Linked DNA regions of Kluyveromyces lactis. The protein of the gene in region 3 purifies or fractionates together with the protein of the main gene of each other region. This does not show direct contact. Links are inferred from orthologs where the notes say so. Each region holds a gene or a part of one and is shown on either strand. Other genes may lie near its edges. The genes, in order: TRA1, ACT1, EPL1 and EAF3.

Region 1 (8,039 bases), about 290 kb from region 3:
TGATGATATGCGAGTACTTGTTCAACTTCTTGCCCACATTTCTAGTGGTTGAAAACCTTCTTACAGCAGACTGTGAAAACATTATCTCTTAATGATCTTCGGTTCAATGTCTATATCTTGTTTCACTTTCAGGTGATAATCTTTAACAAGAAATAAAATAAATAACAATAACAACAGTAGCAGTAGTAAGTTAGCAAATCCCAACTATTGTACAAAGAAAACTTTCTATATATACAAAATACAAACGAGAAGTGATGTGATGTGATGTGTTCTGCGAAATCGTCTTTTCGAATATTTTTTTTTTTTTTCATTGACAAATTTTATGACTGATGGATGAGATGAGTCCTTTAAAGATTTGAAGAAGCTGAAAACAAGAACAGAGTGGAGGAAAGAAAAAGAAAGCTGAATTCTGTCAGCTTTTTGGCGAATTTCAAACTTTCACCGGTACCGGCAATATCGCGGAGATAAAAAAAACAAGATGAGCACAAGCATATATAGGTCACGTGGTCCAGAAATCGAAGCATCGCTGTTATATCTTTTTGTGCGTTTTTTTTTGGATCCTCTGACGAGCGACGGGCGACAGATTGTTTTCATATAGGGTATAATGAATTATTATTATTTAGAAAACAGAGGTTTTGCCAGCCAAGCATGCTACACGGAGTGTGATCATAATTAGTAAGAGAGAGAGTTAAATGTTGGGTGTGACTTGTTTGGTCTTTGTTGCTCGATATAATATTTAGTACTATTCTAAACTATGCCGGTTTTAAAACTTCAATCAGTTATTCCAGAGTAAATGAGTGTAACTAGAAAGCTCAAACAATGTCGATTAATATCTGTATGTTATTGCATGTCAACTTATGTGGGCGTTATGGCATTTGTGTTTTCGTTTCCGACCACGGTTTTGAAAAATGGGTCACCGGTTCTTGTTTGGCTGAGTGGGTATAGTCTAATTGTTTGTCTATTCTCTCATTATTTGGTTAAACGCATTTGGTACACAAGACCCAAATTTTACAGCTTGGCAGTGATAGCAGTGGTGGGTGTTTCAACTTTCTTTTTATCAATGATTTGCACTTGGAATTTTTTATATTACAGTGGAGGGTATGTTCATGGTATCAAATTTTGGCTATCTCAAGGATCCGCCACAGTTGATGTGACAGAAAGAATGGCACTCACAAGTACTGCTGGTTTTGTTACATCCATATTTGAGCTTTTTTGCATAGTTTTAATTTATCTTTTGTACCAAAGGCTGAATCTAGATTGGGCAAAAGCCGTCATGTGGCTCAAGAAGGAGTCCCCTGAAAAACCTCCTCTTAGTACCCAGTTAACAGAAAAATATGGCCATTATAACGATCATAACAAGGGTATATTGGAAGGAAATCTTGACTAAAAATGCAATTAACTTGTGAAAACCTGTAGAGTAATGATTGAATCATGTTAGTAATATCGATACATTATTTTTACATTTTTTTTTAACTAGTATACAAATTTAATTTTACATCGGATATAATATCATCATGAACTGTTCATCTCATAACCATGCCATGAAACTTTGATCACACTTCGCCAAATTTCTAGGACTCACAGCAGCACTGATAGCATCTAACACATACTGAGTTGCTACACTTGGAGAAGAACTCATATGTCCAAATTGGGCCACCTTTCTTATAATCAAGTCAACGTTCGTCAGAACAATGGCATATAAGTGAGGATCTTCAACAATAGAACGGTTCATGCTACTGTACCATGAAATAACTTCATCACGGATGAATAGAGATAGATAGGTGTTCAATTCATGATCTGGCTCCAGCAATGCCCTGGCAATTACAAATAATCCAACAGAGAATACACCTTCCATCGCGGAATCACCGATAAGCTTTTGGATATTTGGTGTCATTCTAAATGGAACAGGTTCATTATTATGGAAAACAGGAGCGGAGTTTGGCAAGTTAGTCTCAAATTGTTTTGCATATTGATTCACTCTTTCATAAGAATAACGAGATGGTAACATTTCTAAAGTATGAACATTACCTGATTTCTCATCGACAAATATCTTATGTGGAGATCTATTATTAATGGATAGCATAAAGGTCATGAACACGAACGCCGCATACTGGGAAGCAAACTGTTTACGGAATAACCAAAAATCTTCGAACTCTGAGAATAATTTGGAATAGTAGTCTTTCAATAAAGTCGATGGAATGAACAACGAATGAATTGAACTGAAAATTTCAACTTTCACTGCGGTTATGTCGGGAGGGGGCAATACTTTGTCATGTGCAACGTTAAGTTGTTCAGTGATAAAGTCTTGAATAGCGTCCCTATCCATGTTCTTCTTGGCACAGAATTCGTCATAAATTTGATGCAATGTTCTGAAAGACGCACTGTCACTCATAACACGTACTTGAGGAGATAGTGGAACAGCGATTGGTACAGTGAATTGAATATCACGACGTCTAGTCTGAACATTTTTACGCAATCTCTCATTCAATAGTCTGTATAATTGGAACATTCTTTCCTCTCGCCTAGAATGACGCACGGCTGGATATTGTACTGCGAATGAATGTAAAGAACCATCGTGCCCCCTTATCGTTAATCTTCGGTGGGATGTATGAGTGCCGCGTGTGAAGTCGACTTCTGGCATAAACCTGCCGATTTTGACAAAATGTGTGTTATTGTCTTTGTTCAATAGATATTGTCCCGGAACTTTTATATCTTCAAACTTCTGATGGTGGAAATTGCTCAAGTTTGGACAAATTGCCTCCATACTCTCTACCTTTGGAGCTCTATCAAGTTTATTCTCAAGTCTGTTACGCCAGAAACGTAGTCTCTTGATGTAAACTTCGAAGTCTGGTTTACTCTCAATAAAATCAGCGTTAAATTTAACACGAATGTTTGGTGGTAACAAATTCTCTGAGAATCTGATCAAATTAGCCTCCGTGCTTGAGGGTAAAGGAGGCTTCTCTCTTGGATAAGGCAATCTGTTGTAGTTGTATGTACCATCAATCAATAGAACATTAATCAACCGGAATAAATCCTCATCTGGATTAGTTTTGAACTTTTGGTTGATTTGGTCGACAAGTGATTCTAATGACAGAGCGAGTAATGGATATGCTGTCTTCAAAATACCATTCAATTCTTCGAGATATTCCCAGGGTTGTCGATTGTTAGGATACATATCTTGATCTTGGGATTTGTTTTGTGAAGTTGTTCTTGAATTGTCTGGAGATGGATGCTTGGAGTTCTCTTGATTCTCTGTTTCCGCAGGTTCTCCCTGAGTTCTTGCCAAAGCTAAGCTCTGTCTCTGTATTACAGCGAAATCTTCTTTTGTTGTCCTTAACTGGAAGTGTAATGCTTGAGGATAACTTTTAGCAATACGGATCAATATTTTGCGGACTAAAAAGGCCTCTTTATGAGAAAGAGCAGTTAACAGTTGAGGAATGAATGTAATCCAATACCAAACAGGTATCTCACCACGGAATGAGTCAAATGCGTAAGCTAGTGAGTTAGAAGAGTCGTCTCTCCCTAGTAGCCACAAAATTCTAGAAAGTAACTTTCTTGTTTTTGAATTCTTATACAAGCCAGCAGCTTGGAGGTAACAGCTCATAGCATTACTAGCAAAACTGATGTTCTTTGGCTCTTCAGAGAGTCTGCGATCATTAAAGAAACCCCATTGAGCCCATGCTTTTGCGAGATTCAAATCAATCTGAACAGCAGTTGCGAAGGCTTGATTGGCTTCATCATGGGCACGAAGCTTGGAGAGGAACATTCCTTTCAATGTGAAAAACTCAGCCTTTTGAACAGTTCCAAAGTAGACTAAATTAGTGTTGCTAATAACATCGAGACCAGTTGTTAGTTCATTCATATTTTGATAATGACATTTAGCTTGTTCACGAAGTTTGAGGAAGGCTTCTTGAATTTCTATGTTTGGCAAAGTGTAAATTCTGGCCAACTGACTGATACAAACATCAGGCATGTTGTGTCTTCGAGCTACATGAGCAAAGCGATTTATCACCCACGCAATTTCATGGTAACCTCGGTAAGCATGTGTGTTAATATTACTATTGCTGTTAGCTTGCTGTAGTGCTGGTACCAATGGCAGATACGCACTATTGATAACATTGAAAACGTGTTGTCTCCAGGTGACCAAATCGTCCCAAATAGTAATATCATCCCAAATATTAGGTAGTCTGTCTCTCCAAGCCTGTAAAACACGTTTAATTTCTTGTGCTTTTGTGTCTAGATTTTGCACCGTAGTGCTGGCTAAATTAGCATATATTTGAGTGGCTTCTAAGAACTCCATGTACTGTTGGAATGAATGCAATAATGCCTTATGTGCTGGGGTGTAGCGTTTTGGTAAGGAGTGCCATTTTTTTAAGCTTAGTTGAATACCTTCATCGCAGAGACGTCTGACTTCTTGATCTCCCTTTTTGGTTTCCCCAAACTGCTGTAAAGCTAGGAACGTTTCGAATATCTGCCTTCTTGGAGTTGGTACATCCATAACACTCTTTACAGAATGCTCTAACGCTTCACGGTCGGCATTCCATTCTGCAACTCTCCATCCACATTCTAACAATAAATCTGTGAATCCTTCGTGTTTTGCTAACTCGGTGAGGATATCCCAGTGCTGCAATTTACTGGCACAAAGGATCCAGTTATCTTCCCATAGTTCATATTCTGACTCAGAATAGGGCAAAAAGCCGCCTCTGGCCTTGACTTGAGCAGCTTCATACATTTGCTGTGCTTTATCCCATAAACCGATTTGTTCATACGATAAAGCTATGCTAGATTCTGTGTACTTTGCCTTTCTTCTCCATAATCCATAGAACATATCGTCTTCTTGTATACTCGAGTATAACTCAAGCAAAGCATCTTCGTTTGTATCTAGAATTTTACTATTATCGATATTGGATGTTTCTTGAATCTGTTCAAGTAAGTCGATTGATTGATACCATGCATTGAACGTAATTCCCAAATATCTTACTAGATGAGGTGGAAGTTCTAACGATTCAATTTTGCTTACCGATTCTAACATTGTACTTATGACATTAACATGTATTGACGCCTGTTTGGTATGATAATCTTTAGATAGAAGAGCGACCAATGATCTTACAAAGCCGTACTTTTCATTCCTCGGTATCGATTTATAAGCAACAGGGAACACATTTACCCAGGTTGCGCGAACGGCTTCTGGACTCTGATAGAATATATCAACTAATGGGTTAATTATGTCACAGCATTTAATAGAGTTTATTTTGTCAATGAACGATTGATGCTCTCTAATCAAAGACTCCAAAGCGGAATTAGTGATAACCTTATCTTCGTCTTCAACAATAATATTACGTTCAATAGCGCTTAGTGGAGATAGTGGGAAGTGCTCAGTGAGTTTAATTCTATGTTCCATGACACATGCTCCGAAAAGTAACTGGCAAGCTTGACTTAACCACATATAATCGGCCACAAATTCCCAGTTTTGATCTCTAACAACGTAATAAAGCCTTTCTTTTATGTCATTATCCAAACTGCCATTTAAGATGTTCATTAATTTCGACCTTAATTTTATATCAGAAATGCGGGTTCCAACCAAAAATGGTTGTTCCATTCTCACGGTAATTTCACTGTTGTTGTATTTTTTATTCTCAAACAACTGCAATATTATTTCATAAAACTGCTTAGAAAGGTGAGGTTCTCCACGAATTTCAAATGCAAGCATCTTTGTCAATATTGCCGCCTTTTCTTTAACAGTAGGGAATATTTCATTGGTGAAAACCCAATTTTTAGCGATGAGAACAATCTTCTGCAAGAAATTCTGATCCATAGAACGATCGATTAACAAAGCGACTGTAGACAAAAACGGCCTTCTGGAATCCCCAAGGGTAGATACTTTGAAAGAAAGTATATAGAAAACTTTCTTCAAAAGTTTCGTGGTTATACGAGCATCTTCGACAGCGGTGGCGTCTTTTGGCTGGGAGATGGTTAAATGATCCTTACAGAGTTTGTTGAAAGTTTTCATCAATAAGGGCAATAAAACATCGATCTGTGAGGGAATATTAACAAAGAGTGTCCAGCACAAAATTACACCTGCGGCAACAGAAGTTGTTCCATTCAAATTCTCAGATATGATGGAACTAACCAGGTTCACAAACACTTTACTATCCGTATCTTCTTCACTCTCAAACGGAACATCATCGTCTTTGACAGCTGTTAATACAGTGCTTAATACCTTTTGTAAAGCTTCTTGCAAGTCATGGTGGTTGGCGTGAAGACATTTATCCAAAAGGGTTTGGATTGTTTTTAGATTATTGATGATCCATTTGGGGTCTTTTGTTCTAAAAATGATATCCAATACATCTAAAGCATTCATACAGTAATACAACAAGTTGGCTGATTCAAGATCTTGCTGGATCAAGAATTTTTCGAAATAGGACAATTTGACAACTGCCTCTGGCAGGTATCCGATGGATAGTAACTCAGTTAAAACAGATAATGCCTTTGATCCCAATGGCGTTTCACAGGCCCTATGGTTACTAACACAAATGAAACGAATCAAAAACGCCGCAAATGCTTCCCGTTGTGAAAGAGAGGTAGAAGAAGAGGTAACTATTCCTTCAGAACCGTCCATATTGACATCGGGGTCATCCTTGCTTTGAGCCGAAAAGGTTTGTTTTTCCCAGTACATAACTAGATCACAAAGATCAATGGTTAGCGTCTGATTTTCGGTAGAAGGGTTGGTTAAAAGGGTTAATCTACCAATGTATGATATGATGTTTGGAATGAACATATCTTTGTAAGGGAAAAATATGTCCTTTTGACTTATTAAGAATTGATAGAGGATGGTATTTTGTTGGAAGTTACTTTCTAATATTACCCTTCTTACCCAATTAACCCACGTAGTTGGCTCTTCGGAACCCTTTGATCTATCTGCTACTACTGGTGCTAATAAGTCTAATGATTCCTTTACCATAAACCTTGCTTCAATTTGATGGACTCTGAGTATTGCAACAAAAACTTGGGTTACTATGTTGACTGGTAGATCGAATTTTGAGATGAACAATGACGTCGTTACATAAGCAGCCTGTTTCAACTGAATGTCTTCTAACTTTATGAATTTCCATGCAAACTTGATCAGATCCCTTTTTACCGGTTCAAGCAACGTAGGAGCGTATTTTAACAATATTGAAGTGAGCTGCAATAACTCAAATCGAATGGAATCAAGCTTTCCTATCACTGTATTTAACACAACAGAAGAACTTTTCGGATTCCATATATGCTGGTTAAGAAATGCGAAAATTTCGTTATCCGGACTTATCAATTCATCCACAGAGTTCTTAGTGGTGCTTTCATGAATCATAATGGAATTCACCACTCTTTTAATGACGAAGTTCCTAGCTTTTAGAGAACGTTCTTCTCGGAGAGAAAACTGCAAACATTCTAAAATATATTTTCTTTTTAACTGAACGTCGACACAGCTGATAATATCATCAAAGATAAAGCTATTCACTTCATTTGGGATTTTGAGATCATTATCATACGAATACTGGATCATTTCTAAGAAAAGAGGTACATCATATTTTTTCTGTTTCAAGTAGGCCAAATAAATCATTTGGAATTTTTCAATACTTTGATTCAATTGAAGTATATCAATATTAAATGAATTTTCATTGATAAGTTTTAGAACAGTTGTTAACATTGATTTTAACTCAAATAAGATATCTGAGTTCTCCAGTATCCAACTCTCTTCATTCGAAGTGTGGTAAACATATACCAAATCAATTGAGTTTGCAAAAAAGCTTACTACGCGAACAGGGTTCTCTGGGATTTTTTCGACGTAGAATTTCAAGAATTCCCTTAGCTGCGGTTCGAAAGCCTTTCTCAAAACAGGAGCTTCTTTCTTTTGTATTATAGAACACATAAGAAGTACTAATTGTCTTGATCTCATATTAGTTTTGAAGTAGGTCAGTACCTGCACGTGGAACCTATTGAGGTACTTTGCTAAAGGTACACGGAACGGAGAGTCTAGTTGTAACCTTAACTTACGTTCC
Region 2 (8,167 bases), on a different chromosome or scaffold from region 3:
AAGTGGGCTATAGAGTTACTTTACTTCCGGTTTCAACTTAGCTTAAGAACTGAGTAAATATTGGAGCCAGTAGCAAAGAATACACTGTTTTATAAAGGTGACTTAGTTTCACAATACGCAATTGAGATATGAAAAATGCATTTGAAGTGAAAAGGTTGATCGGGCTGTTAGTTTGTATCGGTTTTATGTTAGGTATGGATACTTCGTCTTTATCATTGTTTCTTGGGACGAGCTATTTCAAAGAGTATTTCAAACAGCCAACTGCACTACAAACAGGTATGATGACAGGGGCCAACCAAATTGGTGGGTTTGTGGGGTGCCTAATGTCTGGGTCTTTGATAGAACTCATTGGGTGCAAATGGTGTTTGTGTGCTTGTAGTGTTATTTGGACCATGGGATCTGTCGGATCTTTTTTTGTGCTTGAAGTTTACACAATGGCTCTGAGTAGATTTGTAAAAGGGATTGCAGTAGGTATTCTATCTGTGCTTGCTTCATTCTATTTGATGGAAGTTTTTTCAAGCAATATAAGGGGGCAGGCCACAGCTTTAATGCAGATGGCTTTAACAATCTCCATTCTATCCATATACTTTCTCTCTATGTTACTTGATAAAATCCAAGGTCCCTTGGCATTTAAGATTACTTGGGGGTTAGAAGTGATACCCAGTTTATTGTTATTGATGCTATTTCAAGCACTACCGGAGTCGCCAAGATGGTTGTATAAGCATGGATATTCCAACAAAGATATAGATCGGTCGCTAGCGATTTTGAGAGTGAAGGATGTTGAGAAACTCAGAGAGAAGTTCGTTAGTGAAACGAAGCAAAAGCCAAAGCTTTCCTATATTATCAAGAAAGGTTACTGGAAACACATGAGTCTCGGTATAATAGTCCAGATATTAATTCAAATCAGTGGTATTAATGTTGTGATGTATTACACTATTTACATATGTGAAATGGTTGGCTTTGATGATGATGTCAGCTCGAAATTAACCGCAGGACCTTATATTGTCAATACGATATTTACCTTAGTCCCTGTCTTTTTATTAGACAAGTTTAATCGCAAAGTATTCATCGGGTGGGCAAGTGTATTTTTAGGTGGTATCATGCTATTGATAGGATTCCTAATTGGTGAAAGGGAAAGGCACGTCGGCGATGTTGTTTTGAGAAATATAGTTGTCGCCTTATGTTTCCTCTTTGTTTCGGTATTCTCTTCATCATTGTCATGCGCTGGCTTTATCTATACTAACGAAATCTTACCAGAATCCATAAAATCCGTGGCCTTATCAGTTTGTATATCGACAAGTTGGTTTACAGGGTTTGCCCTTGCATTAATGGCACCTTATTTAATGCAAATCGTAGAATGGTGGACCTTCGTAATGTTGGGAACATCAACAATAGCCTTAGCTTTCATTATAATTATGTGGTTTCCTGAGACGAGAGATTTGTCACCACACGATATTGACAATCTATTCAAACAAGACGCGCTGTCAGCAGAAGTTGAATATGAAAAGATAGAGTCGGATCAAAGTGCAGATTTTGAAAGTATTCCCGAGAGGTCTGGTGCGCCAGAACCTGACTCATTTGTGTGTACCACTACTACCACTGAAGTGACGGAACGTTGAATTATTAGTTTAGTCTTGTTTATCTATTGTACATATTAAATAATTTACTATTTCATAAACTAAGAATAACTTTCAACACTAAAAATCTTTGTTCTGGAACATATGATGATTTTAAATCCTTTTCAAATTATCAGATGATCAACTTAAGCAATTAGCCTCGCACGAATATTCAATAATTGCCGTATATAACTTTCAATTGGAGTTGTTTAATTTTAATGTTGAATTTGAATTTCGTTCGTATATAATCTCGGCTTATTAACTTATTAACTTTCATACTAAACTACCCACTTCATTTATATGAAGTAGAATATTCCAACAACATAAGATAGAAGATTGGAACTTGAATAATGACTGTGCGATCGAAGATAAATAAAAACAACACACAAAACAAAATTATAAAAACAAAGAAGATTTGGAGTAAAATCGTCCCTATATGAAGTTTTAATAATTGTTAGTTTTTTGTTTCATAAGCTTCAATTTTTGGGTTCATCTATATGAATCGATTCATCGTTTATTTTAATTGTATTCTTTTTATAAGAGTGTCAAGTAAAAAAAAGTGAAGGAGATTAGAAACACTTCAAGTGAACGATGGATGGACCAGATTCGTCGTATTCTTGCTTTGAGATCCACATTTGTTGGAAAGTGGTCAAAGAGGCCAAAATAGAACCACCGATCCAGACAGAGTACTTTCTTTCTGGAGGAGCGATGATCTTGACCTTCATAGAAGAAGGAGCCAAGGCGGTAATTTCCTTTTGCATTCTTTCAGCAATACCTGGGAACATGGTGGTACCACCGGACATGACGATGTTACCGTACAATTCCTTTCTGACATCAACATCACACTTCATGATGGAGTTGTAAGTAGTTTGGTCGATACCAGCAGCTTCCAAACTTAGAACAGATGGATGGAACAAAGCTTCTGGAGCTCTGAATCTTTCGTTACCGATAGTGATAACTTGGCCATCTGGTAATTCGTAAGACTTTTCAACAGCGGATGATTGAGAAGCAGTTTGCATTTCTTGTTCGAAGTCCAAAGCGACGTAACATAGCTTTTCCTTGATGTCACGGACGATTTCTCTTTCAGCGGTAGTAGAGAAAGAGTAACCACGTTCAGCCAAGATCTTCATCAAGTAGTCGGTGATATCTCTACCAGCCAAGTCGATTCTCAAGATAGCGTGAGGCAAGGAGAAACCGGCGTAGATTGGAACAACGTGGGTAACACCGTCACCAGAATCCAACACAATACCAGTGGTTCTACCAGAAGAGTACAAGGACAAAACAGCTTGGATAGAGACGTAGAAGGCTGGAACGTTGAAAGTTTCGAACAAGATTTGAGTCATCTTTTCTCTGTTGTTCTTTGGGTTCATTGGAGCTTCGGTTAACAAAACTGGGTGTTCTTCTGGAGCAACTCTCAATTCGTTGTAGAAGGTGTGATGCCAGATCTTTTCCATATCATCCCAGTTGGTAACGATACCGTGTTCAATTGGGTAACGTAGAGTCAAGATACCTCTCTTGGATTGAGCTTCGTCACCAACGTAAGAGTCTTTTTGACCCATACCGACCATGATACCTTGGTGTCTTGGTCTACCGACGATGGATGGGAAGACGGCTCTTGGAGCGTCGTCACCGGCGAAACCGGCTTTACACATACCAGAACCGTTGTCAATAACTAAAGCAGCGACCTCTGTTTAGAATAAAAAACCATCACGAGTAGCAGAATGCAGATTAAGGAACTAAACCGTACGTTTGGGTAGGTTAGGTGTTCCAAAAAAGTGAATTCAGCCATCCCAAATAGAAAAATAATTGTTAGTAACATAAGATAAGAAAACAAAAGTAACAGGTGCATTTTGGGTGATCATGAGGTTATGTGATTGTTCAACGCTAAAAGTCCTGTCGCGGACAAAATAGGGGCTAACCTTAGCAACCAGAAAAATAAATCAAAAAAAAAATAGGGACAACCGAACCACGAGGGGCAATGCCTGCACCACTTAAAGGTGTACTTTGATTCCTTCTTGGACTGGAAGGAATAACATTGTAATATAAAATCACATCATCACGTGACATCAAATTATCTTTTTTTGCCTATATTTTCCAAATTTCTTTCCAATTCGCCTCCTAAATCAGGTAAAAAAAACCCAAAATCCAAAGTTAGTCACCCAAAACCCAAGAAAAACACGTTATAGTAAGAAGGTAGAACCAGGAAATGAAAGATCCAATTCTCGAACAAAGCTTCTAATCCAAACCCCTATATATAAAAAAAACCCATTCAATTAGCGTTGTACATCTAATTCTAAATCTGATTTAGGGAGTTAGAGAATGGACAATGGCAGCGCAAAGCGCTGCCATTATCCTATCTTTTCCCTCCCAACATTTAACCGGAAACCTAACAAAGTAATAAAACATATCCAAACTTTTTAACCACCCAATTAACCCACCGTAATCAAATATACGTTTCCACACATACCAGAATCCATATTGTTATACTATAGCGCGTGAAGATGTTGTACAATTCCTTTTGCAATCAACAAAAAAACCGTTATTCTGAAACAACCTTTCTTCTCTTTGGATCGTAAAAGACAGTAAAGAAGGAGGAAACAAATCAAGATATTTCTTATTTTTCTTGTAAATTAAATCAAATTTCAAACTCTCTCATACAATAAATCGCACTAGCTGTCCAGAGAAACAGAAGAGAAAATTTCGAAAAAACAAATTAAAAAAAAAAAAAGAATTCTGATGAAAAATAGGAGACGATTGTCATTGTCCACGAGGCGGAGCAGTTGCGGTAATGGTTTTCTAGTGGTTACGTGGGATTCACTGTACAGCTGGAGGGGCGGACTTGCAATTGAAGGCTTTGTGAAGGCTGGAAGTTTGATATAACGTTGGTAGGCTGTCGGTAGAATAGTTATATCGTAGTATATTGTATTCATGAGGCAGTTATCGATCTCTGGATGTTAGTACATCTGGTTTATTTTACAATTCATTATGACCGCATATCGTCTTAATCCTCCGTATATTAATGTGTATATTCAAAATCACGTGACATATATGTACGTTACCCGGATTATAATGACTCGGCAGTTGAAATCTATACGTGAATATATGTTACGTGGATCATCATCAACTATCATTGAAGCAACGGGAAGGTATTAATAGATCAGGTTAATATTCGACAGTACATTTATGTACATCTATCTCTATCTCTGAAGAATCTCACCCACCCATTGTAGAATGGCTGGAAAATCGTCCAAGAAGATTGCTGCAAAGAACGCAGCCATCTTAAAGCAGTTGCACGTACTAGTCGTCGCTATACTATCTTTAACGTTATTGAGGAAATGGTTCAGTAATGGGCTGATTTCAACCCTAAAACCTATTCTTTTCAATGTGCCGATGTTGTTATGTTTATATATTCTCGAACGTACCGGTAGACCAAAATATGAAGTCAGTAACGCTGCGCATGGAAAATATAAACTAGTTAATGAAGGGTTCGATTTGGAATCTGGTGGACTCACTGAATACATGAAAGATATCGTGTATGTTTCCTTGTTCTGTAACCTGGGAACAGTTTTCTTCAACACGATGAAATGGTGGTTCTTGGTATTAGTGTGCCCTGCGTTTATTTTCTACAAGTTGTACTACTTGAAGCAACAGTATTTCCCCGGTGCCTCAGCTTCAAAGGCGGATCTCGCAGAGACAACGCCCGCTGAACCTTCCAAATCAAAGAGACAATTGAAGAGGGAAAAACGTGGTGATAAATCTCAGGTAAGATACCGATAGATTAATGTTAGAGAAGGGGTTGTATATACTATATCCATCATATATCTACGAATACATTCTCTTATATATAGAGAAAGTAAGAAAGAAAGGAATAATGATTGTAATTGAAATTAAGTCTAACTATAATAGGCTCTAAATAGACAACCACCGGCTCTTTCGTTAAAGCTATGTGGGGCAAATGGTGCTTAATGTTGTTTGTGATGTATACGGGATATTAATTCTTCGAAATATGGTAATTATCAGACAGTTCTTAAATTCAGTTCCTGATTTTTCAGACACTTAGTGTATAGTAACATAGCGATGATGCTATCCAATTTAGCAACAACCACCATTGGATCCAGTCAATGATTGGCCCTTTAAGTTGACGTTGGACTTGTCTTCAGCTCTACCATTATCTTTTTGTTGTTTGGCGACACTTTCCTTGATTTGCTTGGTCATGATCAAGAAGGCCTCCTCAACGTTAGAAGAATCTAGTGCACTGGTTTCGATGAATGGAATTCCAATAGAATCTGCGAACTCTTTAGCAACTTCGGTGTCAACCACCTTCTTATCTGTCAAATCGTTCTTGTTACCAACTAGTAACTTCAACACACCAGCTGTACCGAAACGGTCGATTTCTTGCAACCATGTCTTGACGTTGTTGAAGGATTCTTGGTCTGTTACATCGTAAACGATAATTATACCGTGGGCACCACGGTAGTAAGAAGATGTAATAGTTCTGAATCTTTCCTGACCGGCAGTATCCCAAATTTGTAGCTTAACAGTTTTGCCATCTAACTCAACAGTCTTGATCTTGAAATCAACACCGATGGTGGATATATAGTCGTTGGTATAGGTATCATCGGCAAATCTTAACAATAAACAAGATTTACCAACACCGGAATCACCAATCAACAATAATTTGAACAAATAATCGTATTCGGTATTCATTTTTTCTTTGTTTGCTTGTAGTTTATAGCGACTGATACGATTCGACTGTTTGTTAAAAAATATGGGCTCCTTTTGTAAGTTGTGATTGGATGGACTGCGTTGTAAGTTTACAATATTTCTCTATTTTAAACACACCTTTCTGTATCCCTCGTTGTTAATATCTCTCCGTTAAAGAAAATGAGTAAAGGAAGTATAAGATAAAATATGATAACAACCCCAAAATAAAAGTCTATCCTTTAGTTAAGCTTTCAGTAAATATGCAACAGTAACCAGAAAAAAAGCAAGCGTCTTATCAAACCGCATTTGGAATAACTGAAACTATGCTATTGTTGCTTAATAGAATGTATTTCGGTCCAGGTTTCACTGTTTGAATTTTGTTCTCCTGAACGGAAAAGATTCCACAAAAGATTACCATCACGTGACACAGAAATACACAGTGTTGTTGATATAGATCAGTAATGAACCTGTTACACTACACTGAACTATTTCGGACAAGTAATGAAATGGATGAAGACATTACAAAGTTCAGGTAACTGATAGGAATGATTCGTAGTAATCTTTAGGGGAGATGTGAAACTCTACAAAATCTCACAGGATGTAAGATGCGAATGCAAGAATCTTTGCTTGGATGAGTTTTTTCTAAGTTAAGATACATATATATGTATGCATGTGTATATCTAGATGCTCTACTGACTAACTTGCAGGAAGACTCTATGAATGAACTTAAGTTTCGAGTTTCTAACTGGTTCTAGCGTTTTCAAGCAAGGATTCTATCAAAGAAGACTTTAGCCAAATGTTTAATGCCTAACCATTTGTCCATGAACATAGGCAAACGAGTTGAGATGAAGTTTTCAATCATCATTTGGTTCTGGTTACATAGCAACCTCATTTGTTCACTTTGATTGTATCTTAACTTAAAGAATATAGCGTATGCCCAGATTGATAGAAGTGTGAATAAACTCTTGGCATTGAATGTGATAAGCACAGAGATTAACTGTATGGGCAGCATGAGACACACTTTGCACATCGTTACAAGTTCTGACATCACTGCAGCATGGAAGAAAGACCCGTTGAAATTGGTGATGAAATACGAGATTTTATTTGACAATGAACCTTTTAACATGGGGTTCATTGGAATGAATGGCAATACATTCTCTTTGAAATAATTCAATGCATGGAACAAAGAGTATATAACCATAGATGATTCAGTTTGAGTTAAAGTTTTCCCTCCTGATAGAGAACATATCAAAAGAACAATGGAAAGTGTAAAATATTGTAGGTTATCCAACTGTCTGATCTGCTGTTTTAAATTCGACCACTGGAATCTTAACTGTTTTGATTTCACATATTGGTGAAGCACAATCCCATAACTGATCACTGTGTATAGCATGATCTTCCTGTAATTTGTCTTTACACTTTGTTCTCGGAATGAGAGCATATATTGGATATAATAGTATAAGCATAACGTGTGACCAAGGAACCAATAGAACTGAGGCTGTTTCAACTTCGTACGGAACACAGCACTCAGAGGGGCTACAGGTCTCTGAGCAGGCCTGTTGCCTCCATTTTGACCGGCAGCATTGGAATAACGATTACCACTGCCATTGCCACTTCCCTCAGACATCTTCTTGAAAAGAAAACCTTTAAAATGAAACCTTAGTAACTAACTCACGAAAGTTCTTTTGGAGACGAGATAATCAACTGCTATTGAGCCGCTAAGTTAAGAGTTCACAATCAACGATGACAAAAACACCTTGAAAAGCTAAATATGTAAACAGCTTTCGTCTTCAATACACAATCAGTTAATCAATTGATAGCCAAAAATATAAGAAAAAAAAAAAAAA
Region 3 (8,755 bases):
TATTGAGGTTTTTTTTTTTTCATTCCTTCATGAAACTTATTCATGTCAAGAGAACATACTTCAAAAGTGACTATATAAAGGCACCTCTCTGTGATACAAGGTGAGATTGAGAGACTCAATGTTGATTTGACATCCTTCAAATTTTTACGTCAAAGTACCCTTAATGTTTTGACAATAAGCATTAACTTATTTAACATGTCAGAAGAGATACCCAGTTTGAACCCATTGTTCTACAATGAGACATATAATCCATTGCAGTCCGTCCTAACATACAGTTCAATTTACGGAGATGGGACTGAAATAACATTTCAACAGCTACAAAATCTTGTCCATGAAAACATCACCCAAGCAATTATTTTTGGAACAAGGATCGGCGCTGCTGGATTAGCGTTGATTATAATGTGGATGGTCTCTAAGAATAGAAAGACGCCGATATTCATAATAAATCAGAGTTCTTTGGTTCTTACAATTGTTCAATCTGCTTTATATCTATCATATTTGTTGAGCAATTTTGGAGGAGTTCCCTTTGCTCTAACTTTGTTCCCACAGATGATAGGCGACCGTGACAAACATCTTTACGGTGCCGTGACTCTAATTCAATGTCTATTGGTTGCGTGTATTGAGGTCTCGTTAGTCTTTCAGGTAAGAGTCATTTTCAAAGCAGATAGATATAGGAAGATAGGAATCATTTTGACTGGCGTCTCCGCTAGTTTTGGTGCTGCAACTGTAGCCATGTGGATGATTACTGCAATAAAATCTATTATTGTAGTGTATGATAGTCCATTGAACAAAGTTGACACATATTATTACAACATAGCAGTTATTTTACTTGCATGTTCAATAAATTTCATCACTCTTCTTCTATCAGTGAAACTTTTCCTGGCTTTCAGAGCTAGGAGACATTTAGGTTTGAAACAATTTGACTCATTTCACATTCTACTCATCATGTCTACTCAGACATTAATAGGTCCATCGGTTTTGTATATTCTCGCCTACGCGCTGAACAATAAAGGAGTTAAGTCGTTGACTTCTATTGCTACATTGCTTGTAGTTCTTTCCCTACCTTTGACATCTATCTGGGCTGCTGCTGCAAATGATGCACCAAGTGCCAGTACTTTCTATCGCCAATTCAACCCTTACTCTGCACAAAATCGTGATGATTCATCATCCTACTCTTATGGTAAAGCCTTTAGTGACAAATACTCTTTCAGTAACTCACCACAAACTTCGGATGGTTGTAGTTCAAAGGAACTTGAACTATCTACACAGTTGGAGATGGATTTAGAGTCTGGCGAATCTTTTATGGATAGAGCAAAAAGGTCCGATTTTGTTTCTTCTCCAGGATCAACAGATGCAACAGTGATTAAACAATTGAAAGCTTCCAACATCTATACCTCAGAAACAGATGCTGATGAAGAGGCAAGGGCATTTTGGGTGAATGCAATTCATGAAAACAAAGATGACGGTTTAATGCAATCGAAAACCGTATTCAAAGAATTAAGATAAACACTGTGTCTCTGGTTTCTAGTTTTTTACGTTCTGTTGAGCTCTATCATACCAATCATATATTTTAGTAAGGTATACATATAGCAGCTCATAGTATCTGCTGGTTCTTTAATTTCATTTAATTATACTTTAGAATTACTCTTTATCGATTAGTTTCATAATATTGTTAGGAAGAATAAGACCCCATTAAGGATATTGGAAATGTGGTAGACCCAGTATAAATTTCTTATGCCGTACATGAAAGAATAAAAGGATAAATATCCTAGAATTGAGACAACGATCAGCCAGTTCATTCTGTTCTTGATTATAGGAATATTGCACTGACTATTTCTTAATGTTAGAAGCAATGTTGGTGCTATGGCTAAGAAATTATGATGCGATCTGAAGGCCGTCTCCCACCTAATCGCAAAATTACGCAAGAAGACGACAACTATTGGAGCATTGATTGGTATCATGAATATTGTTAGCATTAAGAATGACACGTTATAGTTGTGTATATTGGAATATTTTGCGTTGTTCCTGTTTGTAAAGACTGCCAGCTTCATGCAGTTCCACATTTGAATTAAGCTTACAAGGATGAATGCGAACTGATATGGGACATAGACCATGACTCCCAAAGAAATAAAACATACTCCCAGTAATTGCCTGTTATTAAAAAGTAGTTTATGATGTGTCATATCGTTAAGAGGATCAGGAAATGTGATACGCGTATATCTTGTGATTGCTGAGGAAATTTTAATAACTGCAAATTCGATGACATTTATGAGTCTCAAAATAATGAATAATAATGCGACAGAGATTATGAAAAAGACTGGTCCAATCCACCACACAAATGTTTCACGTAGACCCAGCATATAGTTATTGTTCAACATATGAGAATCGCTACTTGGTTTGCTCAAAGAAATAGGGTCTAAGTAATGCAGCAAGGTCAATATGGCCTTATGATTGATTGCTATCGGTCCTACTGATAAAAAGAGGAATATTAATAGACTATGATTATTCAAAACATTCATCAAACCAGTATCAAAGCTGATGAATTTACTATCAGGGCTGTCATAGTAGTAAAACTGGTAGCATAAGACTAAAGCAATTATCGATATTGGAATTGATGCAAAAGCTAATCTGAATCTGATATAAAGCATCTTCAATGTTAGTTTCCAGTTTATGGATAGTCTTAAAGAAATTTCCTCTCCAGGTGGGATGAAGAACATCAAATTTAATGACTTGTCTATGGTATCATCAAGTGGTATGAAGGGAGATATATTGTGCATATTGATTTCATGAGAACTTGAGGCAGCCAATAAATGCCATTTGGTTTCATATGGATTATTAACATACTGTCTCATCATCGGTCTGAACATGCTATCTATTTCGTCAGAGAAAGTTGTTTTCAAATTGAAGGAGATTAGCGAGGACCATAAATTTGGGAATGCTAGGCCATGGACAAAAGAATGTTTATTTTTTAAGGACATTCTAAAAGGGAATAAAGATAGTTTCCACAATCCGTCGCTTGCAGTTTCAATGCTCTTATCATCGCTATACTTTGCTAGAACAAAGTCTTCCTTCTTTTTCATTGAGCCCTGGAAAACTATTATTTGGAAACCCTGCAATAGAGAGCCATTTAATGAGATAAAGCGAAAAGGAGACACCGATTCTCCCCATGACGAGTCAGTTGGGAATTTTTGTAGACTTGTGGAGTGAGGAACTTTGGAAAAGCTTGAAAATCCGTTAATACAATCCTTTCCATATATGTCTTTACAAAAGAAAATATCGAATTGGACGAGTGATGTGAGCATTTCGAAGCTATAGTCGACAGACTTAGAAATATTGAAGGCATATCCTGTGGACATTGATTCAGAAGAGTTTAAGACAAGTAAATGATTCTCAGGGACACTTTCTGTGTCGCTGAAATCTACGGCTGGGGCGCTTAAGTTTTTATCGATCAATTTATCTGCATCAGTAATTCTTTCAAGTCCACTCAAGAAAAACTTTCTTCCTTTGCGCATTCTAATATCTAAAGTCGCGGTTTTTCCTCCTGCATCATCATTGACAATTTCGAGAATATATTTTGCCAAAAGATATCTCAACTGATCACACCACACTATTGCCAAATGGTCAATTGGGGTCCATAGCTCCGGTATTGTAGTAGTGAATGTAGTGAAGCCATTTGATTCAGGAACAATACCTTGGAGATTTGTATAATCGGCAGGCAATATGTCATCCAAAATACCACCTGTTATGGAGATCACAGAAACATTGTTTCGAAAATAACTGCCCATATCATTCATGGCTGAGGTCCAGTATGAGTTTACCCTGTCATAAAGTTTTAGAATATCACCATCAAAAGTGACGGGGGCTGTTGAATGAGGGGACGACAACGTCAGGATGGTATTTACAGACTCTGGTATGTGATTCGGTAGTGTAAGCATTAATCTTGCCACTATTCCTCCCATGGAATGCCCCAATAAAATGACAGATTTAGGTAGTGGGCGGTTGGATTCCTTATAGGCAGCGCTTTGAGCATACATTGACAAGATATATCGTACTGCATCGTTCAAGTATACAGCCTGATCCAGCATTGTTTGCCCATGAAAGGCAGTGAAATCCTCATTGAAATCGGCTGTGAAATAATCCATGTTCTTTGCATTGGAATTTTGAATAGTTGATTTATGGTCAAAGTATAAATTGGCACTTGCCGCAGCTATAGATCTAGCTTGTTTGAAACTTCCTGCATTGCCGGGAATAAAAAGGACAGGTATACCATCAAGCTGTATTTCATCACCATGTTTCGGCTCTTTATCTTTACCTTGTTCTCTGTATAGGTAGAGGTGGTATTTTTTGGCGAGTTTAGTGTGTCTTGAATCAAATCCATCAATTCTGGCGTACGAAGGGTACATATAGATTGATCTGCATTTAGGTGTATCTGATCCGCTGAAATTATGAGATATATGAGTGGAGGTAATAATGCATAGCAGAAGCAAGCCCACTATGATTACAAGCGTGCTTCTTTTCCTTAGTTTCTTCGTCAATGTAGGATACCTGATGCGAACAGCAGACTCAGCCGGTAAGTCAATTTGGACCATTTTAACAACTGGCTTGGTAAACCACTACCAGTATCCTAGGTATTATTCTAAATTTAGTGTTCCTAGTGAATGCACTATTCTGGGCATAGTTCATCAATCAATGCTTGCAATGGTACATAATGTTAGATGCAAGATGCCGATTTTAGATGCGTAAACCAAAAAAAAAAGAAGCTGAAGTCAGTTCAGTCACGTGATGTATAATGCAGCTCACGATGCTTAATAACATGAATTATCTATATTGTTACAGATTCGCATAAGAATGCGGAAAATACTAATTACAAGTTCATATTTATAATGGGATTTGGTGTCATCAAAAGTTTACAATTTCGTTATGCAGCAGCGTTAGGAGTAACGTGTTTCTTTGGCGGACTGGACTGATTTGGAGTTGATCCTGGATTCTTCCTAGTGTCCTGATGAGATGGTGGGGAAGAGGACTGTGAATGAGGAGCATTGTTAATGGGCTGTTGACCCTTTTGTAGCATTTGCTGTTGTTGCAGGGAATTCAGTTTCTTTCTTTTGTTGATTTGTTCCTGTCTATATTTGATGGTGGCATCTCTTAGTTGCTCGTATGCTTTGGATCCTAACATGGTTCCAAATCTTACCACCTGAGTATCGTTTGAAATTTGGTTCAACTTCGCCGGTTCGTCGGAAAACTTGGACCCGTAAATGTTGTAATTGGAATCATATTTCCAGTGATAATATGACCTGGATAAATCATCCAGTTTAGAATCATACACATTTATAACATCATTATCGAGTTCTTGCTTCTGTATTCCATCCAAATCAATAAATTGTAATAACATGTCGTTAATATTGTGATCAGTTTTTCTTTGGTCAATATATTCCATATTGAAACGACCGCGACGGCGTCTGAAAGCGATTGGAAATTCACGAGAATGAGTATGAATCTCGTTATCAAATGGATTGAAAAATTCTAACTTTTTATACTCATTGTTCTCCACAGCTTCACCTTCCTTGTTAAAAACCTTTATATCATTCGCAGTGCCAGTGATATAATTTTGAAGATTAGGTGAATAGTAGGATGTTTTTACTTCGAACTTTGAGCCAGCAACAGAAGAAAATGGAGCATCTTGGGGGCTGACGTTATCTGGTATTGAAAGGTTGAAAACAGGATTGTAAGGATCATCAGTGAGGTTGAAAAAGATGTCACCATCTTCCTGTTTCCTTTTTCTCATCCTGTCTTCAACAAATTTCCTTGTGCTTTTTTCCTTTGAATGCAACAATTTACCGACATCTTCTAACACGATATCAGGTATCTTAGAGTTAGGCAATTTAACATATACTTGAGAAGATGCCTGTTTTTGCTGTTGTTGTACATTCGAGACATTGGCAACAGGCGACTGAGCTCCAATTTCCTGCGCAGATGACAGTGATTGTTCTTTGTTTTTATTTGAACCAGTTTTTGGGCCTTTCTTCTTTGGCTCGCTTCCTTTCTCATCAGCATATAGACCACTGTCTTCTTTGTGAAGTTTCGACGATTTTGAAGATTTTGCACGTTTAACAGATGAATCTGAAGTAATGGCTGCCTGCTGCTGTTGTAGTTGCTGTTGTTGCTGCTGTTGTATCTGTAGCTGTTTTTGAAGAAGAAGTTGTTGTTGTTGTTTGATTGTACGCACCGAACTCACGAGTTTTTGTTTCTTTGCCGAGTACAAATCCTCGTTATCGGCATCTATGCCTAACTTTCTCTTCATTGTCTTCAATTGGGCTCGCGCTTGGAAGACGAACTTTTCGTTTTCTAGGACTTCTAATACTGCTCTTTCTCTTTTGGCTACAGTGAGTGCCAAATCTTTAGTATATTCCAATTGTTGGCATAGAAGTCGCAATTTTTGTGAGTTCTGAACATCTATCCGCCTTGTTTTCCTAGGTTGTCGAAGCTCTCTCCTACGGAAACACACATATGGATCATTATCGTCTTTATCATTATTACGCTCCGATTTCAATTGTGGGAAGATATCGCAACCATGACGTGATATCTTGCGTTGCTTCCAATGATCGTGTATTTTCTCTCCGAACAATTCGATAAGAGTCTCCATATTTTTTTCCCTTTTACCTAGAGGTCTTTTATTGTCAAACATTGTCAAGAATGGTTCATCTTCAGGCATCCCAATTTCCTTCGCGAGTTCCTTTTTTACGCCAGAATCACCAACATCGTTTTTCAACATGGTTGGTTTTAGGTCTGCAAATGAAAGTATACTCTCGGGATCCATGGACAGGAAGGGTTGCCTATCTTTGATGGAAGACTCAAAGTTGGCCATAATTAATTCAAACTCATCTTCCGTTAGAGGTTCGACCGAATCCGCCAGGGATTTATTTAAATCTGCCAAAAAGATTTCGTCTTCTTCATCCATATTATACAAAGTACCACAGCAATCTTCTAATTGTGCAGAAAACTGGATATAACTCGTAGGACATTTGAATTCACCTTGGTAAAATCTGTCAAACTCGTCCCAAGTTTTCGAGGCGTCTGGTGTTGGAATAAATAGATCCTTCTTGTTCTCTCGAAGCTGATTGGATTGAAGAATTTTGTATAAATGCTCTTCCTTTTCTTCATTCTTCTCCACACCAGTTTCAATCTCCATCAGCTCTCGCTGTTGATGCTGGGAACTGATGGCCGAAACATCTTCTTGTTCCAAATCCTTAATTTCATGGCTCTTATAGATCCGAAGTCGTTGCTTCACGCTGATCTTTCTGTGCCTGAACCTCGATGAATCCACTGCAGGAGCTGGCATACTGCAATGTGTCAATGCCCGTGTGTAGTTACCCTGATAGCTATGCGGCTGAAGCCAAAGAAGGATCTTTGAATTCCAGATTTCAATAGCGAGAAATATGAAAGGAAGGGTAACTACAATTATCCCTCTAAAAAATTGGTTCTTTTACGGGGGCCCAAATTTATTTTCTTCCTGTTTTCGGGGCCAAATTTTGCGAAAAACTTCACTGGCAAGCAATCGGGTGGCGGTGAAGGAGGCAGAAAACAAGGAGACCAAATCTAAAATAGGACTGAAGATAGCAGCTATTGGTACGGATTTTGCAGAACTGATGAAAGTCCTTAAGTATCACTACTGATGGTTGATTCTCAGTAGGTTTGAACGAGCCACCGGACTGTTCTGAAGCGCGTGGTTTTCCTTTTTATGTTGGTTGTTTGGGTGGAACGCAACAGTTTGTCCGGTGAATGGGGGTATTGGTTTTTTCTATATTGAAATCCGAACTTATGGAAAGAAAAAAAAATTTTTTACGTCTTCTACGGAAATATGAACGTCTCCCATAACCACCTTGGTAGACAATAGGAATTTCTGTTCACGTGACTTCCATTGGGTCAAGGTAAATGGTGATGCCAAAAATTGTATGAGCTTCTACCAAAAAGAAAAAAAAACGGAAATCAGTAACTTGACATCCGTAATGAAGTCATCTCATCGCTTGTTGAAAGAGTGAGTTATCTGAGGCAGGTAAAGAGGCTGAGAAAATCAGTCTTAGTCGTGAAACGCAATGGAAACAGCAGAAGGTGGGGCTTCTTTTGCCGAGTTAATGGATACTGTCAAAGGTACCATAGATAATTTGGTAAACAAAAGAACCTTCTTAAAGGAACAGCAGCCGTTGTATGAACAGATATTCGATAGGATAAGAGATGCTGACACGAGCGAAGATTCGGAAGAAGAATGGCAGTATGGTGAGGTAGTATTTCAGAATGGTAAGTTTTTCCAAAATATAGGTTACGATTACTATTTGGAGAAATCTAGGGAAGAATGCCTGGTTTTTATAAAGGTTCGATTGAACTTAATTGCCGAAGCCATTTCACAATTTGATGAGAAACTGAAAGAGGCACATGGCACATTGCGAAACATGGAGTTACTTCGAGACGGTGCAAAATCTTTGGGAGATACGAATGTTTCTAACAATGATGATGACCAGGAAGGTTTCTTTGAGATCAGAGAAGAATTAGACGAAGACGGAAATGTGATACATGCTTCAATGACGCCCGCCAATAAGGTGCATTCGGGCAAAGGTAATGAAGTCCATAGTGATGAACAACAATTGTCACTGAGTCAGGAACGTCAAAATTGTCTTTCACCAGAGACTGCCTTCAATATTCAGAATGATGATCGCTCTTCCGCTTCAGGAACTTCGGAAACTGGCAATAAGACAGGAGA
Region 4 (7,550 bases), on a different chromosome or scaffold from region 3:
ATGGCGAATGAAATGATCTCCTGCCAATGTATATTTTGTACGCTTAATGGGTTGTCGGCACCAAGTGAAATCACTTCCGAATGTTGTTGCAATTGGAACATGATAGATATCAACCCAGATAGTAGCAATTTATTGCCAAATTTGCTCGTTTTCAACTTGGTCCAACTGTTTGTGTTATTCGATCTTTGCAACTGATGCATCACATGGTTCAAAAGCTCTTTCAACGCGTCAAGGAAGCTTATATCCTTGCTTCCAAATCCATGTTGCAATAATTTGTCGAGCGATAAATCGTAGCTGTCCCAAATCTCGTCCGAACATGGCAACGAAATCCTCACTTGATTACAGTGAATAAATAGGTATGTGTATCCGAACACAACTGCGTGAGTTGTGTCAATGTAAAAGGCGTATAATGCTGTTCTTTTCAAAGTCTCAAAATCGATCCAATTTTTGTATATCACTTCCATTGATTCGTAATTCGATGGTGATTGTTCCTTCTTGACACGTAACGGATGCCCTCCCAAGGAAGGAGTTCTACGAAGTAATTGAATTGTGGTACCATGATGCAAATAACTTCTTTCATGCAAATATCTATTTGTACTGGTCTTTTCATAACACTCAAGCAATAAAAGTGACTGAATAATATAAGTCTCCGATGGTGGTTGGAAATCTTCATGCGAAAATATCAACCAACGTAATGGTCCTGCAATAACATCACTTATCGTACGACGAGTGGCAGATCCCAGATAGGAAGCACCGGTCATAATCATACTAAGAATAAGAATTGGAGGCTCTTTCTCAATGTCAAATGACGGTTTATGCAAAATTGGATATTGTGGATGGAAATTCAACCAGTATGACTTCAATGCAGTTTGTAATTTGTTTAACATAATATATTTCACGTCCGCGATTAGCAGTGCTAATGTACCTTGTCTTTCCAACGATAGTTTGAACTTCGAGTTAGGGTCTATATTGAAAAATGACGGCCTGGATATCAGCTTAGACCTCTGCTTTTTTGATAGTCTGTGAGAATCCGATTCAACGGTAGAAACTGTTGCTGACCGTTTCAGTTGCGATTTTAACTCTCCGACTTTCGACTTCTGTGCCAGTAAATTGTCCTTAATGTTCTCCTTTCCAACATCTTTAAATTTTGGAGATCTATTTGGAACCGAGTCGATGGATGAAGTAACAGAGCCTGCATTAGATGGGGTAGCGACACTTTCTCCCGATTGTTGAGGGATGATATCATTGTAAGACATCTGCTGCACCAAGGTTTGTAACGGATCTGTTGGTAAGAAATCCACCGAGAATAAATCATCCACGATATTTGTTAATCCTGGATTGGTATTGAGGCCTGTGTTAAGTTCAGGATCATAACTCTGTTGTTGAGGCGGAACCATGTGTGCTTTTTGGTCCAAGGGAATATTATCAATATGCTGCTGCTGACGTTGGTACTGTGGCTGAACGTGGGATTGTGACAGAGGCGGTCACAAAATTGATGGATCTTCCAACTTCGCAGTTGGTGGCACTGCATCAGATGGCTGATCCAACCTACTATTCTGTTGAGGCGTAGCATCCTGAGTTACACCACCGGCGAACAACCAGTTGAAGAAACTGTTCAAGTTACCGTTTGATGCTGGCCCCATTGCGTTAAACCCAGCATTCAGACTAGTATTACTACTACTTGTCGTACTACTGCTATTGGGCAAAGAGTTACTGTCATGGCCAACCGCATGTCCGCTACCCGAGCTCGCCTTATTGTGCTTTTTATCCCCCACATCAAGTACGATATGATCCACCTTTTTCTGCTGTTGTGGCTGCTGTCCAACACCAGCGACACTCGCCGTATCCGGCAGCTGCGGTGCCGCTGCTTTAGACCCACCCGCCGCTCTTTCTTTGCCAGATTCTCTTCTCACCTTCATCTGCATTCGAACACCGTTATTCGTGTGACGTCTCTGATGTCTCACCAACAAATCCTTCCGAACGAAAGTCCGGTTGCAAACTATCCCATCGTCAGGATAAACATATTCACACCGAAATATCTGCTTCGGCCAGTGGTTAAGCTTATGCCTCTGTAAATGCTCATACCGTGAGAAGGTCTTCTCACAATCTGGATGAGGACAAACGTATCTGCCGCCTACTTTTTCCTCCGACGCTTCCTTACTCTCAGAACCCATCATTTTCTACCACCGTCTGCTGTACAGCGTAAATATATCAATAGATACTGAAGTACACTGCTTACTCCGAGGCTCCGACAGCTGATGATTTAAGGATAACGAACAGTATATTTATGATGTCTTGTGATTGTTATGCTATGATGAGTACGGTCGAATCGAAACTGTTTTTCAGATGTTGATCGCTTATAATCACGGCCCGGAAATAATATTTCTGGGGTCCCCGAAAAAAGGGTTTTGGGGGATATATATATATATAACGGTGTATGTGGTGGGGTCTGGAGATGTGGTAGAGATATATTACATGCTTAGTGCGACCCCCTCGTATTGGGAGGACGTGTTTATGTAGGGATCTACTGGGAAGTTTTTCCTCGCGATGTTTATGGCGATCCATTCGAGTAAAATGTCGCACTGTTTCACTAGGATCTTGGCAGTTTGGTCATCGACGTTGCTTGATTCCATCATTTCGGGGAGTAAAGTGACTAGTCTTAGTAGATGGATAATTCCGTAAATTTCAGTGTACTGTTTCTCCGAGTGTGCTTTCAGTAGTTCTGCATATTGGATTCTTTCTAGACGGTACAAGAGTAATTTCCCCAGGGATAAGTTGAAGTAGAGTTTTATTCCCTGCAGAAATTCTGAGAGTTGAGCTTGTTCTACCACTGAGGAGGTCGAATTGCTAGTATCTGCATAGAACTGGGACAAGATATGTTCGATTGGCCGTTCGCTGGGTAGTTGTACTAGCTTTCTGTCTTTTGTGACGTTTTCCCAGTCGTCTACAAGCACAGAACGAAGCGAGATAGGGACTTTTATGTGTATCTTAGGGTGTGATCTTTTGTTTAGTACTGGGGTTGCCTTCTTACGGTCGGATTTGTCAGAGCTGGAAGCTGCTGCTGTTGTACCAGAAGATGAAGATGAGGCTGGATTAGAAGCGGAAGTCGAACTTGCCGAAGTATTAGTACCACTGCCACTATTTGAGGTACGGCTGGCCGCCTTTTTGCCCTTCTCAACCTTACTAGGCCTGCCAACAGGCCGTGATCCTGATTTCTTCTTCCCACCATTGTTCTTCAACTCTCGAGCCTTTTCCACCAACGACTTCTTCAATTCCAAATTCTCATCGTTATACGGTCTGATTCGGTCTAAACCAACCCATTCGTCCCAACTCGACTTCCAGCCCTGGTAATGCACAAAATAGCATTGGCCCTGTCTCATATGTTCCGGCGGACGATCAAATTCTACTTTTTCATCGTCAATACTCACGTCTTTGTAGTCCTTTGATGTAATAGTCTGATTCTTTTCATCGTAAACTCGTAATACTTTGGCTTCATAGAGCAAAGGTCCGTGATAACACAAACATTTCCCATCTAGAACAATTGCCATGATCAACAGCTACTGAAAGTTCCCCTGGGACAATTAAATTTTGGAGAAAGACCAGCGTAGCAGGTTCAAATACTATGTGTAACTTCTGTTTCGTGAAAGTGCTAGATGGTAGCTTTAACGTAAGATTTGGCATTTGAATTTTACGTGAAGAAACATGGGAAAACGGACAGTATAGAAACAGTAGATAACACTAGGTGAGCACTTGATAGTAATGGTATATAAACCGCAGCTACTTGGAAGGAATGCAGTACTTTCCAAGAAGAAGGAAGTGGGAAATTCTGATCACGTGACAACTCACGTGATATGATATGACATTGGAAGTGACCTGATATCTCCAAGTATTGCCTCAAAGCACTAGAGTCAAACTAGTATCAATTCATAAAGTCTTGGCCACCCTTCAACACCAATTCCAGCACCACAACGCCACTAATCACGTCGCATATCCACCTCTTACCATCACACAAGGTCTGCAAAGCTCTCCTAATAATGCTGTTCTGACCTTTAATGCCAAAGTAAAGAAAAAAAAAAGTTGATGAAACAAAAACAAATTTGAAAGAAACAGCCTTTTATCACAGTGACCAAAGAAGCAAACCACAACGGTTCTGACTGGCAAGGACGATCTTTTACACGCGGACAAACATCTGTATTGGTATTCTGAGTCGATGAGACGTTATTTGAGTGGTGGCTACTGAACTATTTTATTCGAAGCAAGAGAGAAAGGAAAGGTTTCCCACATTTCCTAGTATTGTATTTTTTTGTTTCCCGATAGGACTTGATAAAACCCAGAGTCGGTGCTTTTGCAATGTCTAAACGTTCGTCCCAGCATGTGGTAGGAATTCACTATGCTGTTGGTCCTAAGATTGGGGAAGGTTCGTTTGGAATAATCTTTGAAGGTGAAAACATTCTAAATGGTGGGTCGAAGAACCCTGTTGCTATAAAGTTTGAACCCAGACGGTCTGACTCACCACAGTTACGGGATGAGTTTCGCGCATATAGGATATTGAATGATGTGAGAGGAATTCCTCATGCGTATTATTTCAGTCAAGAGGGGATTCATAACATTTTGATCATCGATTTGTTGGGTCCGTCGTTAGAAGATTTATTTGAATGGTGTAGTCGAAAATTTTCCGTAAAGACGACAGCAATGTTGGCGAAACAGATGATTGATAGAGTACGTTCTATTCACGAGCATGATTTGATATATCGGGACATTAAGCCGGATAACTTTTTGATATCTGAGTTTCAACGGGAGTTATCGGATGGGTCAGTGGTTAAGTCGTGTGCCACAAGCAGTGGTGGTGACGCAAACCTAATATACGTGGTTGATTTCGGAATGGCAAAGCAGTTTAGGGACCCAAACACAAAACAACATATACCATATAGAGAGCGTAAATCTTTGAGCGGGACTGCGCGGTACATGTCGATAAACACCCATTTCGGTAGAGAGCAATCGAGAAGAGATGACTTGGAGTCCCTTGGCCACGTATTCTTCTATTTCTTACGTGGGTCCTTACCATGGCAAGGTTTGAAAGCTCTTAACAACAAGGCTAAGTATGAAAAGATTGGACTCACGAAACAGAGGTTAAAACCAACGGATTTATTGACACCGGAGATACCAAAACAGTTTGCTGAATATCTATCGTACTGTAGATCGTTAAGGTTCGATCAGGACCCAGATTATGATTATTTGATCTCCTTGATGACGCAAATCATGCAAGAAAATGGGTACGAAGAAGATGGTCATTACGATTGGATGGATTTGAACGGCGGTCAAGGTTGGAACATTAAGGTCAACAAAAGAGTTAATTTGCATGGGTATGGTAATCCAACACCAAGAAATACAAAACATTCTGCTCAACAGCTTACACCATTGCATCAACAGCAGGCACAACAGCAGGCACCGGGGCAAGTACAGGGACAAAATCATCAACAACAGAATAGTAGGCACGATTCACGTAACTATAGGTCTTTCTCACAAAGCACACCAAATAAGTCTCAAAAGAAAAATGTTAATAGCAGTATGGGGAACAGTAGGGTGAGATTGTCACAGGGCAATGGATTTGTGGGACCAAACGTACCATTGAAACAGAACCTCAATATACAATCGTACGATTCAATGGGTAAGCTTCATGGCAGACGCATTCCGAATAACGAAGAGTATGACGATAATGATTCCATTGAAGAAGGCGGATTTTTTTCAAAATTGTGCTGTGGAATTTGCTAGCCCATTTTTTAGGCCCATGACGAGAAGATGTATTATAAGTTAATTTAACCCTCCTTACCTATTTGTTGTCCTGTTGTAAGAGCTGAAAAGGCGTTGATCGTCTGGGTTCTCCAATAACAGGCACACACGGATACATTTAACGCTGAGCGTTTTGCTTTTATAATTTTTTTTCCAAGGCAAGAAGGAACCTTTCATATCTTTGTGTCTCTCCCATTCCCATGATCTTTCTCGCTCGGTTCGCATTTATTAGACAAACTTACACCCTTGCTTTAGCTGAGGAGAACTGACAAATTACATGAACATCCAGATATGTAAATAGAAATACATATTCATAATATTTTACTTTACTTTAATATAAATTGTAATTTAGTTTCAAGGAACTTAAATAACGAATTAAGCACTTGAAGAGTATATTTAATCATTGAATTATTTATTAGCTGATAGTAAGTTAAATTTGAAGTGAATGCAATGCAATATAATTTCCACATGGGTAACAGGTTTCAATGAATTGCAGAAGGTGATTGAGGGAGGTGAACGGGTATCATAAGCCTTCGCATACAAATGTGGCATCGCTGCCTCTTCTAATGCCAGACAGAAGAGGGATTGTGGGTATATCGAATGAATGGGTTTTACCGTCAAACATGCTATCTAGTGCAGGCGTCATTGGAGAATGGGCTTCGTATTCCAGAGTATCCTCAGAATCTTCAAACGCAGAATTGCTACTATCCTTGGTTGTTTCATCTGAACTGGAGTAGACCATAGTAGCTGGAGGTTCTGATTTCGTTTCGGTCGACACGGATTCGAGTAGACGTAATGGGTTCCTTGGTGGAGGTAAAACCATTGGCATGTCAACAACCGAGTACGATCTTAGCTCTTGATCTTGCAAGGATATGAAATGAGAGTCTGCTAAGCCGACGAAATGACTCCCTAGATGTTTCTTGTTTCCGATTCTTTCCAGATCTGGAGATTGAATAATGTTACCGTTTTGCACACAGTCCGCTGGTAATCCAAAGCTCTGGATACCATGAGATGGTCTGCAACACATTACTTGGTCGGTGAATTTCAAATCTTTGATATCCCAGGACATTATTAAGCCTTGATCGTCTGTACTATATATTTTCTTCATTTCATTATCGTAATCGAGACTGTTGACATGTCCGTTATGACCCAACAGGTGTGCTCTAACCTTCCCATATCTGATATCCCATATCTTCAATGCCTTTCCGACCGAATTAACGACCGTATATTCATCTAACCATTTGGAAGTATAACATTTGCCAGACTCGGCATTGCTGTCCTGAGGTCCAGGGACACGTATTCCGTTACCATCACCCAAACGAAGATCCAACAATGCAATTCCGGACTGCCCAAATTTCGTTCCTGTCAGAGAAAATGTGAATGGATTGACTGGGTTAACATCAACGTGTTCCAAACCGGGGAAACTGTTCAAGTATAATGGGTCTTTGCACTGTTGGTTCACGTCATAGACAAACAACGAATCGTTAATGACAGAGGTGAAATGATGCTTGTTCCAGGTCTTCAAATGACGAATTGGTTTTGAACGACTTGTGTTATAAATTTGCGTAGCAAGATCAACACTATCCATGCTATCGGTGATCACTTTCAAATGTTTGGAATGATTGAAACGTCTTAGAATTTTGGCGTTCCCATTCTCGATTGAAGTTGCAATTAAGTTCACATATCCATCAGAGTGTCCTGAAAGTAAGATTCTGTCATGGACTTTATCATCGAAGGAAACTACGGTGTCATTATTCTGC

Evidence for each region.
Region 1: the proteins of EPL1 (region 3) and TRA1 purify together in Saccharomyces cerevisiae (affinity purification with mass spectrometry; 15 studies listed by BioGRID, with this or other methods). This does not show direct contact. The link is inferred for Kluyveromyces lactis from reciprocal best matches to the Saccharomyces cerevisiae genes EPL1 and TRA1.
Region 2: the proteins of EPL1 (region 3) and ACT1 purify together in Saccharomyces cerevisiae (affinity purification with mass spectrometry; 10 studies listed by BioGRID, with this or other methods). This does not show direct contact. The link is inferred for Kluyveromyces lactis from reciprocal best matches to the Saccharomyces cerevisiae genes EPL1 and ACT1.
Region 4: the proteins of EPL1 (region 3) and EAF3 purify together in Saccharomyces cerevisiae (affinity purification with western blotting; 14 studies listed by BioGRID, with this or other methods). This does not show direct contact. The link is inferred for Kluyveromyces lactis from reciprocal best matches to the Saccharomyces cerevisiae genes EPL1 and EAF3.

What each region holds. Positions count from the first base shown.
Region 1 is NC_006042.1:2,049,505-2,057,543, forward strand, and holds the end of TRA1 (histone acetyltransferase TRA1), read right to left. Parts: coding exon 1,529-8,039; downstream 1-1,528. Other genes in the region: dihydroxy-acid dehydratase ILV3, read right to left, coding at 1-82. UniProt on the Saccharomyces cerevisiae protein: Essential scaffold subunit of the transcription coactivator SAGA complex. SAGA acts as a general cofactor required for essentially all RNA polymerase II transcription.
Region 2 is NC_006040.1:457,652-465,818, reverse strand, and holds ACT1 (actin), read right to left. Parts: upstream 4,094-8,167; coding exon 4,084-4,093; intron 3,304-4,083; coding exon 2,186-3,303; downstream 1-2,185. Other genes in the region: KLLA0_D05379g (uncharacterized protein), read left to right, coding at 129-1,619; SND2 (Snd2p), read left to right, coding at 4,848-5,393; Rab family GTPase YPT1, read right to left, coding at 5,709-6,323; PER33 (Per33p), read right to left, coding at 7,081-7,947. UniProt on the Saccharomyces cerevisiae protein: Actins are highly conserved proteins that are involved in various types of cell motility and are ubiquitously expressed in all eukaryotic cells.
Region 3 is NC_006042.1:2,333,293-2,342,047, forward strand, and holds EPL1 (Epl1p), read right to left. Parts: upstream 7,340-8,755; coding exon 4,919-7,339; downstream 1-4,918. Other genes in the region: alpha-factor pheromone receptor STE2, read left to right, coding at 196-1,506; BST1 (Bst1p), read right to left, coding at 1,662-4,589; BUD27 (prefoldin-like protein), read left to right, coding at 8,094-8,755.
Region 4 is NC_006041.1:1,189,131-1,196,680, forward strand, and holds EAF3 (Eaf3p), read right to left. Parts: upstream 3,549-7,550; coding exon 2,472-3,548; downstream 1-2,471. Other genes in the region: SDD4 (Sdd4p), read right to left, coding at 1-1,397; KLLA0_E13487g (C2H2-type zinc finger protein), read right to left, coding at 1,485-2,177; casein kinase YCK3, read left to right, coding at 4,351-5,772; DSE1 (Dse1p), read right to left, coding at 6,314-7,550. UniProt on the Saccharomyces cerevisiae protein: Component of the NuA4 histone acetyltransferase complex which is involved in transcriptional activation of selected genes principally by acetylation of nucleosomal histone H4 and H2A. The NuA4 complex is also involved in DNA repair.